Regions from separate parts of the Mus musculus genome. Here region 2 is reported to be linked to region 1. The links are microRNA targets in miRTarBase. Many come from high-throughput screens and were not tested one by one. Region 1 holds a microRNA gene; the other region holds the end of a gene's coding sequence.
The links. Region 1 holds the annotated microRNA mmu-miR-350-3p (UUCACAAAGCCCAUACACUUUC, at 3,005-3,026, shown strand). A microRNA usually pairs through its seed, bases 2 to 8, with sites in the 3' UTR of a target mRNA and lowers its output. Matches are read on the target gene's strand: a 7mer-m8 pairs with bases 2 to 8, a 7mer-A1 pairs with bases 2 to 7 and ends in A, and an 8mer does both.

Region 1 (8,293 bases):
ATTGAGACTGGTAAGTGGAATTGTTAATTCCAAAGCATCGCTTATGTATTAATTTCATATCTCCATCTTCACCTGACTACCTCTTCACTATTAGAGCCCTACATTATTCACAAATGTTTCAAATAGCCCATTCGGTGACGTGTTGAGGCTATTCATGCTTTTTCTATCAAACAGTGTGTGTATATGTACAGAGCATCTCCATCCATACTTTAATTCTTTCTCACCTTGAGTTTTCCTGCTTTGCTTTTTTTTGGCATTGCTGCTGTTCACCTTGCATCTCCTGATCATAGTCAAGACCGTTCCTTGTCTGTTACATCTGTCTAACATACGAGTGCAATTCTTTTCATCCAGGCTGTTAATCTGCCTTCTGATTCTCAGAATAGTAATGGTCATTACCAATGACCCTCATGCTTCAGGCTTCCAAATATTTTGAATTCTCTCTCCTTTTCCTCATTAGGGTGCAGCACAGAGGCCAAGCACGTGGAGGGACAGTCTGCGGCTGCAAGTGAAGAAGCACTTTTTCCCTTCTGTAGGGAGCCAAGTTATTTTGAAATTCCTACAAAAGAATTCCAGCAGCCATCACAAATAGCAGAGAGCACTATTCATGAGATTCCAACAAAAGACACACCAAGTTCCCATACAGCAGGTGCAGGGCATGCTTCATTTACCATTGAATTTGATGACAGTACGCCAGGAAAAGTAACTATTAGAGACCATGTGACAAAATTCACTTCTGACCAGCGCCACAAGTCAAAGAAGGCCTCTCCAGGAACTCAAGACTTGCCAGGAATTCAGACAGGAATGATGGCACCAGAAAATAAAGTAGCTGACTGGCTAGCCCAAAACAACCCTCCTCAAATGGTGTGGGAAAGAACAGAGGAGGATTCCAAGAGCATTAAAAGTGATGTTCCTGTGTACTTGAAAAGGTTGAAAGGTAAAGTGATCTTCAGAGATTCCTATTGTATCATAAGTTACCAGACAGACTACTGTTACTTAATTATACACTGGAAAATATCTTTTTCAAAATTTACGTTTAATTTTAAAGCTCAAGAGCAAACAGCACTGTTTATGTCCAGATTTCTCATTCATATTAGCTTTTCTTTGTTTTCTTGCCAAAACCACATTGGTTTGGGGATGGCAGGTTACTTATGTCATTTAATCTCTTTACCTGCAGAAATAAAAATCTATTAATTATACAAAGCAGAATTTTCCTGAAAATAATCCCCATCATTTTCTTGATTTAAAGAAAAGATATGTACAGTTCTTTTTCTCTCTATCATGCTTCCAATATAGCACCATTTCTAGGTTTTGAAAACAAAATTAAGCTACTTACCTGCTTACACCAGAAAGTCAGATTGCGCTGGAGTGAGTGCTTCACACTGTCAGCTGTGTGCAGAAGCTCCTCACACACAGACGCTTTCAGCTGAGATACATTCACTAGGTATCTACAATTCTAACACAAAGTTTGTGCTGTCAACTGCAATTTGATGTTCATTTGCAGAAATTAATCATATTATATAGTAATATTAGCTATTACATATACTTTATTCAACACTTAGTTACAGTCATTGCATGTATATTGATTGTAACAACTAATCAGCTTTCTTCCCACTGGTTTTGTGAATTGAATTTCTTTTGGAATTTGTGTTATTTTGTTTTGTATTTTAATATGCTATCAATAAGGGAATTGCTTTGAACAAATGATTGTGAATTTGACAGTTCTGTGGCTTTTATGGGGAGATGATTAATTCTATTCTAAAAACTGCTTTTTGGGGTCAGGGAACATATATAGCCTACTGTATTCCTTAACCCTGCATCTGGGACTTCAGCATAGGCTATTATCTAATGGCTTCATTGTTAATGACAGGACTGACTCTGGCTTTAATTATAGTGATCAGCAGTTACCTAGCAGAAAGATAATTGAATTCTGATTGTGATATATTTACTCCTCCTACATGTTAGTTATATCATAGTTGAATCATACGCATGCAAAGGTTAAAGATAACATGTAAAATGACTGCTAATGTAAATTTGATGAAAAATAGTGATAAGCTAGTAGTATATCAGAGGTAGTATATGCCTTGAAAATGAGTCTTCTTAAAACCCATACACTTACTGCATAGATGAAGGATGAATTAAAAAGATCCTTTGGCAAGATTCCATCAAAATATCTTTGTTAAGGAGCTGGAGAGGTAGCTTAGCAGTTAGGACCCAGGTTTAATTTTCAGCATCCATATGTTGGCTCCACACCATCCATAAAGAGGGGATCCAGTGTCCTCTTGTGACTTCTTCAGGTATCAGGCACTCACAGGGTAAACTTACATGCTTGAAGGCAAAACACTCATAGGCATAAAATAAAATAATACTTAGAGAAATACTGAAAATCCTTTTATAGCAGTGTAATTGTTAAATGTTTTCTGTATTAACAATTATCCTTAAGCCATCATTTTAGTATATTCTCTGCTCTTCACCAGGACCTATTTGAGCCAAATTAGAAGTAGAATCATTAATACCCATATGAACACTGTCTTTATACTGATCAGAATATATTTTTAAATTTTGCCAAAAATTAGTCTAATCACTATTGACCTTGAATTATTCTTTCATACTTGACATTAGCCTATTTTGAAAGCCATCCAAAAAAAATTTTTCCCAGCAATAACTCACTTTGTATCCCAAATAGAGCCATGCTATTTATTTCTTCATACTTATTTACAAATGACATTAACTTTCTTCAAAATTCAGAGCTGTTATCAATAAATAAGTTTCCCATTAGTTTATAAAACGGATACATTCAGATTTTGAATAACGGAGGTAGATAGTAGTTAGTAACAATTTATTAAAACTTGGACTTTGAGCAACTGTGAAAATCAATTGATATGAGATATAGATAGATAGATAGATAGATAGATAGATAGATAGATAGATAGATAGATAGATAGATAGATGCCTTGCTCCTACAAGAGTAAAGTGCATGCGCTTTGGGACAGTGAGGAAAATAATGTTCACAAAGCCCATACACTTTCACCCTTTAGGAGAGTTGCAGCTTGCTTTATACCAACTTCTCACAAAGTACAGCCAAGCTAACCTGAGGGATAGCAAGTGAATGTCTGTATTTAGGATAGTTAGAGATCAGCAGAGGGGTTAAGAAGTATGCTGAGCATTTCTGCGTGGTCTTTTTACTGAATAGAAACATAAGATTACAACTCTGATCTAATCATGCCTCAACTTTTCCCCTTGGGTAATACACAGAAGCACTAGAAGGACTAATAGCTTTATAAGAAAGAAAATGACTAATCTCCAACAGATTAGTAACAATGAAACTTGTGTTTTCATTAAAAATTCTGAAGTAAATTTACAGTCTTACTTACAGGTCTAACAGTATAGAAACTATTAGTGTTTATTCTTTTGGACCTTAACAAACTGAATTCCTATTCAGTTTATCCAACCCAGTATGTTTTAAACAGTACTATAATAAAATGTGTGTCTAAACTAGTAGTTACATCTCTGTTTGTTTTCCATATACTACTCATGATTCCTAAATTATCAGTGTTGGAGATTCCACTAATTAAGCACATTGTTGGGTTTTTTTTTCTTTTCATAGTACTTTTTGGATAGTAAATAATTTGAAGAATTTTTACATTCATCTCATTTGATTTTTATGTTAATCTGTCACTTTGAATCTGCCTTATCTTTACCATAGTAGTGCCCTCCGTTTCTCCTCCTTTTTCAAGATGTCATTCAGTTCTACCATTCCCTTGTCTGTCCTCATTTCTTTTATGTACTACATTTTACAGGTAGTTCTCTTGTGTTATATTTCACTGTTATTGGGAGCTTCCAGATTTACTAGGAACAAACCCATACACGTTATAAATCCTTTCCCCTAGACATACATCTCATTCTTTCATACACAGCAAGCCTTTTCTTTCTGATTGCTCTCTTGTTGACAGATGTTTACTTTAGAGTAGACAGCGTGGGAATGTTTCAAAGTCAGATTATTTCTACAAGATTGGATTCTGTCAATGTACATTCTAATATACTAGATTCATTTATAACTTTGAAAAGATTTTTGTTAATCCTTGATTGGTGATCCATCTAAATCATGCTGTCTTAGGGTTCTACTGCTATGAACAGACACCATGACCAAGGCAACTCTTAAAAGAACATTTAATTGGAGCTGGCTTACAGGTTCCGAGGTTTAGTGCATTATCATCAAGGCAAGAGTATGGCAGCATCCAGGCAGGCATGGTGCAGGAGGAGCTGAGAGTTCTACATCTTCATCTGAAGGCAGCTAGAAAACGGGCTCCCACATGGTTAGAGTAGGTTCTCAAAGCCCACCAGCACAGTGACAGACTTCCTCCAACATGGCCACACCTCCTCCAACAAGGCCATACCCCCTAATGATGCCACTCCTTTGGTCAAACATATTCAAACCACCACACATGCCTAGAGTAACTCTTGCTCTGATCTAGAAAAACCTTTATTGGGAGGCTAGTATAATATTGGACATGGTATCTACCTATATCTGTACCATGTAGTTTATTAGAAGGAAGGGTATAGTAGAAGTCTTTGTAGTTGGTAGGATGTCAGCATCATTTAACTCTTTGAAGCCACTAGAGTTCTAAGAAAACATTTGTAAACATTGGTTGTTACTAATAGTAGCTACAAATTTCAGTCTTTTTATTGAAAGGTGTGTTGAACTTTTAAAATTATTGAATATCATAATTTAGATATACTCCATTTTAATGACATTCATATTGTGTTAAATAGTGTTTCGGTTACACCAGTCTTTTAAATGATTCCTTTTATTTGTTGCGATTATAATCATTTTACTTTCCCATTTCCTTTCCTCTGTACAAACCCTCCCATAAACCTCTTCTCACTCTTTTTCAAATTATTGCTCACTTTTTTCATTAATTGTTCTTACATACATAATTTCTAAACAATCTACTGTGTCTATATAATCTTGCTTTTCTGATGTTTTCAGGCAGGGCTGACCATTTGATATTGGATAATCAGTTGGTGTGTTCTTCCTTGGGGACGACTGTTTCCCCCACTCTTGGCATCCCTTAGTTGCCTGTAGTTCTTTGTGTAGGGTTGAAACCTTGGAGTCTGGTCTTTTTTTTGTTTGTTTAGTACCAAAGGTTTACGATTGAGAGGCAGAGCGAATGTGTATTAATGTTAGAAGTACAAACTATGACAGGTGATGGAACATCGCTTATTCTTTTAAGGGATTGAGGAATCTTTTATAAAGTTGAGATTTAGAGAAAGAAAAGTAATAACTCAGTTGTTTATAAAGGGCCTCATTGACGGGTGAAATATAATTATAACTGTTGTGCAGGAGGGCAGTATGCAGAACCTGTTACACTAAAGGACATACAACTCTGTCTTAGAAAGGGGAAGGGTAGCAAAACAAATGACACTTTTGTATGTGCTTCTGATTTTCTACATGGAATTTTTTTCTTCTCTATTATATCATGTCTTTTTTTGTGTCCAGGAAACAAACATGATGATGGTACACAGAGTGATTCAGAGAATGCTGGGGCACACAGGCGCTGTAGCAAGCGTGCAACTCTGGAGGAACATTTACGCCGCCATCACTCAGAGCAGAAAAAGAAGGCCCAGTCCACCGAGAAGCATCAAGAACAGGCTGCTGTAAGTCAAACTGCTTTTATGATTGCATTCTTTGATGAAGATCATTCCAGAAAGAGAAGGTCATATTCTTTTACTCAAAGTTCAGGCATCTTATGTCAGGAAACTACTTTCTCAACACCACATAAAAAACTTGAAAAAGCAAAATCTCCACCAGCAGATGCCAAAGTGGTTTCTTTGTCTTTACAGACTAGCTCTACGCATCACAGAGGGGGGCATGGTGTTCCACATGGGAAATTGTTAAAACAGAAATCAGAGGAGCCATCGGTGTCACTACCCTTCCTACAAACTGCATTATTAAGAAGTTCAGGGAGTCTTGGGCACAGACCAAGCCAGGAGATGGATGTAATGTTAAAAAATCAAGCTACTTCTGCCTCTTCAGAAAAGGATAATGATGATGACCAAAGTGACAAGGGTACTTATACCATTGAGTTAGAGAATCCCAACAGTGAGGAGGTGGAAGCAAGAAAAATGATTGACAAGGTAAATAATTGAAATTTGAGTATGATGGTAGTTGTGGGGGGCTGTTGACTCTTGGACCTTATTGGAGAGGTGGTGCGAAATGTTCTCATGCAATAGGTGGAGTTGGGACTTTAGGGTTTTGTTAGGGACCTAGAAGACTAATAGCAAGCAATTCACTTATATTCTGAATTTTCCTAAATTTTAAGTCTTCTACACTTAAACTACCTGGGCCTTTTTAAGGTATATAAATTTCATTGTCATTTCATGTTTATTTCTATGGAAACTGAACAAGGAAATAGATTTCTACATGAATATAAATGTTAACTGATTTTCTACCTACTAATTTCATTTGGGGAGCAGATGAATAGCATTTGCTTTGATTAGCTTTACCCATTTTCTGTTTGTTTCTCTTCACTACTATCTGTGCTGAATCAGAACAAAATCAGTGTTTATATGTTTTGTTCATTTTAGTCAGGTTTATCCAGTCCAGTCCTAATGATTTGTCTATATTTCAGATATTTCTTTGATGTTACTTATTTATTTACAAGGTGATTGTTGTATGATTTATAAAGTACTTCCCAATTTGTTATGATAGTAAATGGTGGACCTTAGAATGAGCTATTTATTTTACCACATGGAAAATAGCAATCTAAGTTTGACTAAACATAAATCTCTTGTTTAAATTCTTGTTACTGAAAATATGCTCATGAGTGAACAACATTGATATCACTTAAGTGGCTAATACATATATATTCAATCAGTTTCTATATTAAAAACAAGATAACCATGTGGTTCGTGTGTACATTAACATTTAGAATATTCTAATTTTAAGAATTGTCCGTCAAAGAACGACCAAGATATAACCCTCTGGGATGTAGGCAAAAATAGTATGACTATGTTCACTTTTGATTCTCATTATATTATTTTTATTTTAGTATTTGTTCTGTAGTATTTGCAATGCATTGACTGATATACATGTATAATTTGTAAGCATAAATGTATTGAGTCTGTACTTATTCTACTGTTAGAGTGGCATTGTGCCTGACTTTTAGAGACGTGTTAGTCTTGAAAATAAGTGTTATATGTAAGCAGTACTTTGACCATTGTTAAAAAAGAAGTATGGACTTTAAAAGGCCATAGACAGTTTACTCCACAGTTGAGTAATATTTTTTATTAAATATTATTTTATGATTATATATATTCATTAAGAACATGGCTGTTTCCAAGCATCTGGAATTAAGTGTCTAAACTATATGTACTACTTATCCTCTTGGGTTAAATCAATCTCTTTAAGCGTAAGTGTCATTTGTTTAAGAAATTAAGACTTTTTAGGCTCAACAGGTATTTAAAAAACACATAGGAAGCTTGTCATGTCATATAGCTGTATGAAGAGGACCTCTTAATTATTAGTTTTTATATTAGTCATTTCTACATATGACTCTCTACCCAAAGTCTGGTGAGTCCTGTAAAGTTTTTTCAGCACTAAAGGGGTTAAATAAAAAAAAAACCCAAGGTGGAAATTATAGTACAAGGGACAAGCCTGGCCTGGTGCAGTGTGCAGAAAGAAGGCATTTCTACAGATAGGCCTACTTAGGAAAGTGATAGGCAATGGGGAGTTCACAGAATCTGATCATTAATTGTTGTCTAAAATTATCATATGCATCATTTTCATTCTCAAGGAGCCCTTTAATACATCATCACTTTCAGAATGGAGAAACCCAAGATTTTAGAGCAAGGACCATTAAAAAGAATGGTATTATGCAACTGGATAGCTAATTTGTCCATTCTTAAGTTGTGTAAACCAGAAAAATCTAAAACCAATACTGCTTCAAAGTCACTCCATTGTCATGTGTCTGCCACAGTAAGAAAGCTGAGAGTTCAGGAGGTATGGTTAAAGCTAGACGCCGAGGTCAGGCCAGCTTAAAACTAGGCTTTGCTAGAACAAACATGGAGAACTGGATTTAGACATCTGAAGAAGATGAAGTGATAAATGGATGATTGCAGAGAAAATAAAGGGCAAAAAAAGCTAGACTGAGGCATAAGCAGAGACTTGAAAGGTCTAGAGTAATAAACAGACATGCTCAGTTATCTGTAGCTCCCTCTTTAAAGTTGGAGTATGTATGATAGAAGTTGGAGCAGCTGTTGTCCAACTAAATTTGTTTTGATCTGCAAAACTCCC
Region 2 (7,646 bases), not on the chromosome of region 1:
TGCCTGGGAATCTCTGTCCCTGTCCTCTCAGGGCTGCCTGTGTATCAAGTCACTATTCAAAGATCGCTCAGTGACCCCCTCCTGTACAGTCATTTCGCGGTGTAAGTGTGTGCTTGTGCGTGTCCCTCGCTGACACCGGAGCTCCCTGCTCACTGTCTCTTAAAGAGTCGGGGGCGACAGTCGGCGCTCTGGGTTTGTCAGAGCAAAGAAGGACAAGAGGCAAAGTAGTCTGAGTTTGGGGGTAAAGTCTAACCCGCAAAGGTTAGACTCTTTCTTCGGAGTCCTACTGCGCAGGAGAAGAGACCGGCCTCTGAACCAGGTTTGCACCCAAATCTCACTTTCTTTTCAGGGCGCGCAGGCCCACTTGGCTTAACCTGCCAGAGCCTCAGTTTCCTAACCTGCGAGGTGCGGGGACTTTAAAGTGCCTGGCCCTTAGTAAACGCAGTAGCAGCGAGAGTGGCCTCTCCCCACTCCCCCGCAACCACTGCCAGCAACGGTAGGGCGCTGTTTCCAACAAGTCGGGGAAACTAAGGCCAAGATTGCCCTCACACCCCATACACCTAGAGCAGGCCGCTTCGGCGACCGATTCGTGGGTGGAGAGCCTCAGAAGCCGGGCTGGCTAGATGAGCCGCTTGCAACCTACGCCCTATGCTCGTCGCCTGGTCCCTAGGATACAGCGGGGCCCTGCGCGGCTGGGCGCGATCCCGGTGCGGTCGGGCGCGTGCACAGCGCGCATCACGTGGCGGACTGTGACTTCAGGGCTGCGCACAGCTCAGTCCCGAACAAGTCTGTTTCCCATCGTCCCCTCATTTGCATATACAATGTAAAAAGAGTTTTCGAATATAAATGAACTTACTCTGAGTCTAAATAAAAAAATTTCGAACATATAACATAAAACCTAGAAGGTACTACTTTGGGGAGTCATTGATTTTGAAAACAATATAGAAACTTCTCACCATAATCTAAAAGGAACTTAAAATTTTGTCCTTATATACTTCCTGAGAAAATGGGCTGTTCGTGCTCGCTTCGGCAGCACATATACTAAAATTGGAACGATACAGAGAAGATTAGCATGGCCCCTGCGCAAGGATGACACGCAAATTCGTGAAGCGTTCCATATTTTTCCTACTTAATTTTTTTTTCCCTCATGAAGTCCAAAACAGCCCCAACGGTTTTACCTTTTGCTTGACTAAATCGAACCATTGTACTCAAGGAAGGAATGTGAGGCGTGACATAAGCAGACCCATCACTTTGCAATGCGCCTTATCCATGGGCTTCAGTTGCAGTTTGTGACTTATTTTAATTTTTGAGATAGGTCTCACAGGTTCCACCATGACCCCGAGTTTGCTATACAGTCTAGGATAACCTCAAACTTAAGCTCTTCCTGCCTCCACGTCCCCATTGCTGGGATTACAGGCGTGCACTACCACACCTGGCTCCAGCTCATCTCTCCCCTCCTCAATAACCTATTTCTTCACCTTAGCCCTAAGGAATGGTTTTGCTAAAGCCGTAGAGTCACCTGGGCGAGACTAGCAAGCCTTTAAAACTAGGTCTGATACCTTTGAAGAGACACTGGCTATGGAAGCAAAATTTCCTGGTTGCACAATATTTACTAGTTATTGCCAAATAACTAGTGCATAAATAATGCTTAAATCTTAACCATCAAGATGAAGAAGAAACGACCACCCTCCTTAAGTTCAAATTTCCTGTGCTGATTTACTCAGTGCTTTCTGACATACCAATTTCTTCCTCAAAGAAAAATGGGGTATGTGCTTCCCTGGTTCCTGAGCCCGCGCGTGGGCTCTGCAGCCCCTGGGACGCCTGCGGTTCCCGGGCTCGCCCCAGTGACACCTGTGATCAGCCCTGAAGACCAGGGTGGACTAGGTGAACCCCACATGCCGCCGCTGGCTGTAGAGCAGCGTACCACTCTGTATATATTTCTGTTTTAGTCTGTGGAGGTGACATGACCCCTTCCTGATTACAGTGGCTGAATCAAGATCTGTGGGACTCCTTGCGCCTCGGCTTTCCGCCTTCCTTTAAAGCATAGACTGGCCTAGAATCGTATCAACAGTTCTGTTTCAATCAGATGTCCCATTTGGATAAACAGTTTTAAATTATCTCCCAGAGTGCTGTCAATCAAAGTCACTACGGATACTAGTGTGGTGCTTCATCCTCCGACAGGAAGGACTGGCAGGATCGCTTATGTTGGAATGGAGTGGTATAGGAACTCAGTAGAAACCCCCTGAATCTTAAGGACAGGACCTGGCATTCTGTTGGGGTATGCAATCCTTAGGGCTAGGAAAAAAAAAAAAATCTAAAGCCCTGATTGTCTTTTCTGGCTCTACTCTAACTTGCTCAAATACTTGGGCCAATCTCTTGCCCCTTTGGCCACCTGTAGCCATCCAACGTTGGCACCTTATGATGTCTTTCCAACGTGGGTTTTTATGGCTGCTTTCAAGTGTCTTCAGAAAGCTCAGAAGGCCAGGCTGGAGAGAGCACTGCTCTGTCCCCTTTCGTGGGCGCTAGAGGAGGGGAGGTCCACAGACTGGATAATGCCCTATGGGGGTGTGTCCTTTCCTATCACACACAGATGTGCTAGCTCTTCTTCACCCAGACTGTCTTCCAGGGTTTACCTGCATTAGCTCATCCCTGCATGAAGTCATGTTTTAAGCAGAAACAGAGTTCCAACTCTTGTTGTGGGTTCCCTACCACACAAGGAGAGGCAGAGAACTTGGTTACAGAGTTTATACTCTTAGCACATCACCGAACACCACCGGGGCCTCTGGATGGGGAGGACCAGGTGAGGCTGTTTAGAATGATGGAAAGCATGGAGGGGTCGTGAAGGGCAGTTTTGCTTCTACTGGCGATCCGGATTCTAGGTGAGAGTTGCATATCTGCAAAGGCTTACGGTTGTACGGTGTGGCAGGGTAGTTGGGAATGTGTGAACCATGGGCTTGCAAAATGTGGAGGTAGTGTTCTTGAGACACAGTTGGGACAGGAGGAAGGGTTTTCTTTCCTAAGTTGATGATAAATTACTCGACACCCTGCCCCAACACTAATTCTATTGATGAAGGATCTTCTTTGAGAGCAGCGAGCTCTCGAGCTTAATTAACCTTATGTAAATGAGCGTAATTGCATCTCAGTGGCTGTTGTCCGGAAGCACCTGGGGATCCCTTCCCTCAGACGTTTCCAGCACCTAGATGAACTATCCTTTCACGTGGATATTCCACGTGGGCACCGTGTACCGTTGGAGGAAAAATAAGATATGACCTTAGTTGTGGAGGTACTTGTGGTCCCCTGGGAGGCCGACTCATACAGCCAAAGATAACAAGAAAGTAAGTGTCCTCCTAGACTCAGGAACCTGAAGCCCTGTAGAACTCAGAAGTTAGCTGTGCCAGGGACGTGAGGAACCCATTGGCAGAGGAGACAGAGGTGAGAAGCAATTTACTGGTGTCTCAAGGGCATAAAACATCTCTCTACTTAGTCTCTTAGGAAAGGTTTGTCGCAGTGGTGGAGAGCGACAATCTGTCCCACGCAGCTCCCAAAAGGGATGGAGTTCCTCTAGAGAAAGGACGTGGACGGGCATGTTTACATAGCTCCCCAGCTCCGGACCTGTATTCCAGAGGCAGAGTCTTGTAGGGAACGCAGGGAAACAGAGTTGCCAAAGCAAACACCCGGAGAAATCCGGTGTCCACAATCCCCCTTAATCCCGCAAGCACACTTTTCTCTGCTAGAGCGAAGGTGTCTGAGCCGCTTGCGATGGCTGTAATGCCTAAAGTTCGTCGCAAGGTGGCAACATTGTGGCGAGAAATAGACATTAAAAATCCTGGGTTTTTTTTTAAAGCATATTTTCTCTATTAATGTTTCATTTAACTTAATTAGAATCTGGTAAGCTAATTAAAGTAGCTACGAGCCCCGCAATCAGCAATAATTCGTATAATTATTGATAATTACATCCATACCAATCGTTTGGTTATTAACATTTTGGGGGGGAACAAGCCATTTCTAAGTGATGCAGAGCCCAGGAGGGTTTCTGTGTTTTGTAGTTTGTTTTATTTTTTTGCGCGATGGAACTTTCTAGGTCGAATCCACCAACACCTCCAACCCTGAGAGGCTCCCTACCATCTGAGGCTCTCCTTCTGGCTAGCCCAAGGTCCCTGTATACTTTTTTCCACTTTGGGGGAGTTTGGAGGGAAAACGCGAGAATTCAATATTCTCCAGACTCCTTAGTTGGTGTGTAGCCACGGACCTTCGGGCTTAGGTGGCAACTGTCCTGCCCATTTTACAGAAAAGGGTTGTGCATTTAGATGCATTGAGACCACAGAATACTCGAATGCAATCTGCAAGTGTCCTCTCCTGCAGGGGTGCCCTGGGAACACAAGTCACTTCCTAAGTGGGTCTCACTTTCGCGGTGGGTGCAGCCCAGAAGTGAGCAGAGTAACCATGCCCTTTTTACCTCACCCCTACATAAATGATTCCAAGGCCTTGGGGATCCCAGAAAGAGAATAGCAAGAGGGAGCCCTACAGTTTGCCTGGTTGACCCCACCACCCTTACTTCCACACCAGTCTTGTTCTCTCAGTATCCGAGGCTTGAAGGGTCTCAGCCACAGCCCAGGGACTGAGTAGTCTTGGGTTTCACCCGTGCAAGGGGCTCAGCATCTGCTTCTCTTCGCCATCACCCAGACTGTGTCCCAGCTTGCCTGCATCACAAAAGGCCTCCAGTGAAACTCCCCGCCTGAAACTCCAGAGAACTGCAGGACCCGACTTCGACTTCGCTTCCAAGGTCCCCTAGAGAGTGCTTGGGGAGAGCCTGCGGTGCTAGGCTGAGAGCCTGTTCTTGGAGGCGATGGTCCAGGCAGCGGCCTGCAGATGGGCTTTCTTCTTGGAGTGTTTCCCTGAGCCTCAGGGCAGAGACAGTCGAACGACATTTAATGGAGATTGGGAAGTGAGGACCTGGAAAAAATAAAGGGCACATCGCAGGACCTTTGCTAGCCAGAGGAGGACATGAAAGCCAGTCTGGGCTGAAAAATTCGTAAGAGAAAGAGCTTTTTCAGTTCCGTCCTCCACACTACTCAGGAAAGAATGGGTTTCCTGCAGTTTCCTTGCAGAAACTGAGGCTGGTGGCCTCTAGGTGAGGATTTGCATTTCCGGGCCACAGCCCGGGGAGAGTCCTGGCCCTTGCATCTGCAGCCAGCAGACCTCACATTCCTCATGGGGTTTGGTTTCTCCAGCTCCAAAAATGCCCTGGGACTAGGAGGGGGAGATTATTATAATGAGGACAGAGCTTCCTCCTTCGGGGTAGAGACAGGCTTCTTGAGGATGCACCACAGGGCATCTGTCTGGGCGGGACGGCAAACTCTCAGCATCTTTTCTAGATCAGTTTCGCCAAGCTCCTTTCTAGCCCTTCACTCCTCACTTCTACCAGGCCAGTGTTCCTGGTCTATGATGCCCGCTTCAGCAAGCAGAGCAATTATGATCGAATTCTGGATTCCTAACAGCTTGGAGAGGCTTCTCTTGCTGAGTGCACCCCAAATCCCTGCAGGTGACTTCACACATAGGAAATGTAAGGGGTAAAAATTAACTTTCCGGCTGTACAAGCAAATCGCAGGAAGGAAGGGACCACTGTCCAGGGGACAAGGCAGTAATCCCCCTCCCCGGGTAAAGCCGGGGGGGGGGGGGAGATGCAGCCCTGATGCGGGGGAGGAGATTGAGTGAGTTTTAGGTGGATCTGTAGAGTGGTCCTGGAGCGCTATGAGGTCTCCTGAGAGAGCACCACCGCTCTAACCTTGACCACTGGTCCTCACTTGCATCCGGAAGCCCCATCTTTGAGTGGCAGCGTCTTCCACCTTCCCACCCTCTTCCTCCTCCACCTACTGGATGCACTCTCAACTCCGCAGCCCCAAGGAGTAACAGATTTTTTTTTCTTTTTATTAAAAACAAAAGTCACGGATACAGGTCTCCCCAAATAGGCTCAAGATGGTCGCCATCTCGTGAGTCAGTTGTCGCCCTTTTAAAGTGCTGTTACATTACACAACAACAACAACATCAACAACAACAAAATCACAAAGCAAATCCAAAGAGGAATGAATGTAAAACGAGGACTGGAAAGGGTCCCAGGGGAAGTAAAATAACTTACAGTATAAATAAAGTGAACCTAATACTGAACCAAGAGACTCACAGTCCAGTTTGTCTCCATTGCACATAGCCACGTTGTCGTTAGGAACAAGAGTTTCAGAAGTGGACAGGACGGGGAGTGCACGGCCATAGCCAGCGAAGATGCTACGTTATATTCACATTCGGGGTCCCAGGCCCTACTCGGGCCCGAGTGGGAGGGGTCGTAGAAGAGGTCTCCCCTCTTCCCTTTCTTTCCCCGGTGGGTCCAGTTTACCCCTTGAGGTCTGATGCCCTGGAGTTCAAAGGAGGGGCGAGGCAGTATTTACAATGGGAAACCCAACGGAGCCCGGCTGGGGACCGGCGGGCGGGCGGCTGTATTTACAACGGTCAGGTCCTAATGGCTTGTTCCTCGCTCTGGGCCGCCACTGCAGCGGGTATTTACAGAAAGGAGCAGCATGGCTTGAGGGCGCGTGGGCGCGGCCAAGCCGGCGCTAGGGCAGCAGCGGAGGCTTGAAGGAGCAGTTGCCGGTGCAGTGCCGGGGTGTCAGCATCTTGCAGGAGAAGTGGTGCAGGGCGTCGTGAGCTTCTGGAGAGAGAGTCACACCAACCTCGTTGGCCGCCTCGCCTGCCTCCCTGCCCCCCACCCAGCTCCACCAGTCTCCCCTCCCCCTCGCTGGACCCATCCAGCCCTTGGGCACAGGAATTCTCAATGGAGCAGAAGGGAGGTAGAGGGGCAAGAGTGAGGCTCTGGCCAGTCAGAACTATTTCTTAGGTCCATTAGCCCCATTTTACAGACGGGGAAACCGAGGCACAAAGAGGTCTAATTGTCCCAGTCTAGGGTTAGGCCAGAAAGCAAATTTTCGGATGCTCAGAGCTCAATGGGCTTTTTCGTCCTACATCAAAGTTATAAAATTTCACCCCAGTTCCCTTCTGATCCACGTGGACCCAGGCCGCCTTTCTTTCAAACATCTCCATAACTACACCCACCTACACACCCACCCACCATTCACCATCCATTCACCCACCCACCCAATAGTACAACCAGCCTTGACTCTCTCTCAGTCTGTCTGTCTGTCTGTCTGTCTGTCTGTCTCTTATCTTTGTTTCTGGGTTCACACCTTTTAATTTCTGCTGGATGGCATAGCGGGCCTTCCTCTCCTGGTCCAGTTCGTTACACAAGGTATCTGGAAGACATGGAAGTTCTGTGAGACCACCCTCTAGGCAGATGGCTGAGGTCACAGCCTGGGCACAACCTCTCCCCTACAGAAACCACCCCAGAAACTAAGGAGGGGACACCTACACTTCAAACTGCAGGCTGGGAAGCTGGGGGAGGAAATGGCCTGGGATGGCGCTTAAAGGCAGACGGATCTAACCAAAATTAAAGCAAACTTAGGCATTACTTCCCAGGTAATTTTACGCCTCGATTTTTAATTTAGAAACCGTGGAAATTGCAGCGCTAAGAAGTTCAATCACTCCACGTAATGATGCCTGCAAGCCGTTTGCTGGGCTCGCTTGCCATTCTGAGGCTAATC

Region 2: the mRNA of Skor1 is a reported target of mmu-miR-350-3p. Seed matches in the 3' UTR shown: 7mer-m8 at 6,061-6,067.

The regions. Positions count from the first base shown.
Region 1 is chr1:176,767,075-176,775,367 of GRCm38, reverse strand. Mir350 (microRNA 350) reads left to right here and starts at 2,945; the gene lies at 2,945-3,043. It overlaps Cep170 (centrosomal protein 170), which reads left to right. Exons shown (of 20, transcript NM_001099637.2): 8 at 458-934; 9 at 5,498-5,655; 10 at 5,842-6,135.
Region 2 is chr9:63,132,266-63,139,911 of GRCm38, forward strand. Skor1 (SKI family transcriptional corepressor 1) reads right to left here. Exons shown (of 9, transcript NM_172446.3): 8 at 7,233-7,298; 9 at 5,899-6,700. The coding sequence ends at 6,606. It overlaps Gm25064 (a small nuclear RNA gene), which reads left to right and starts at 1,018; the gene lies at 1,018-1,124.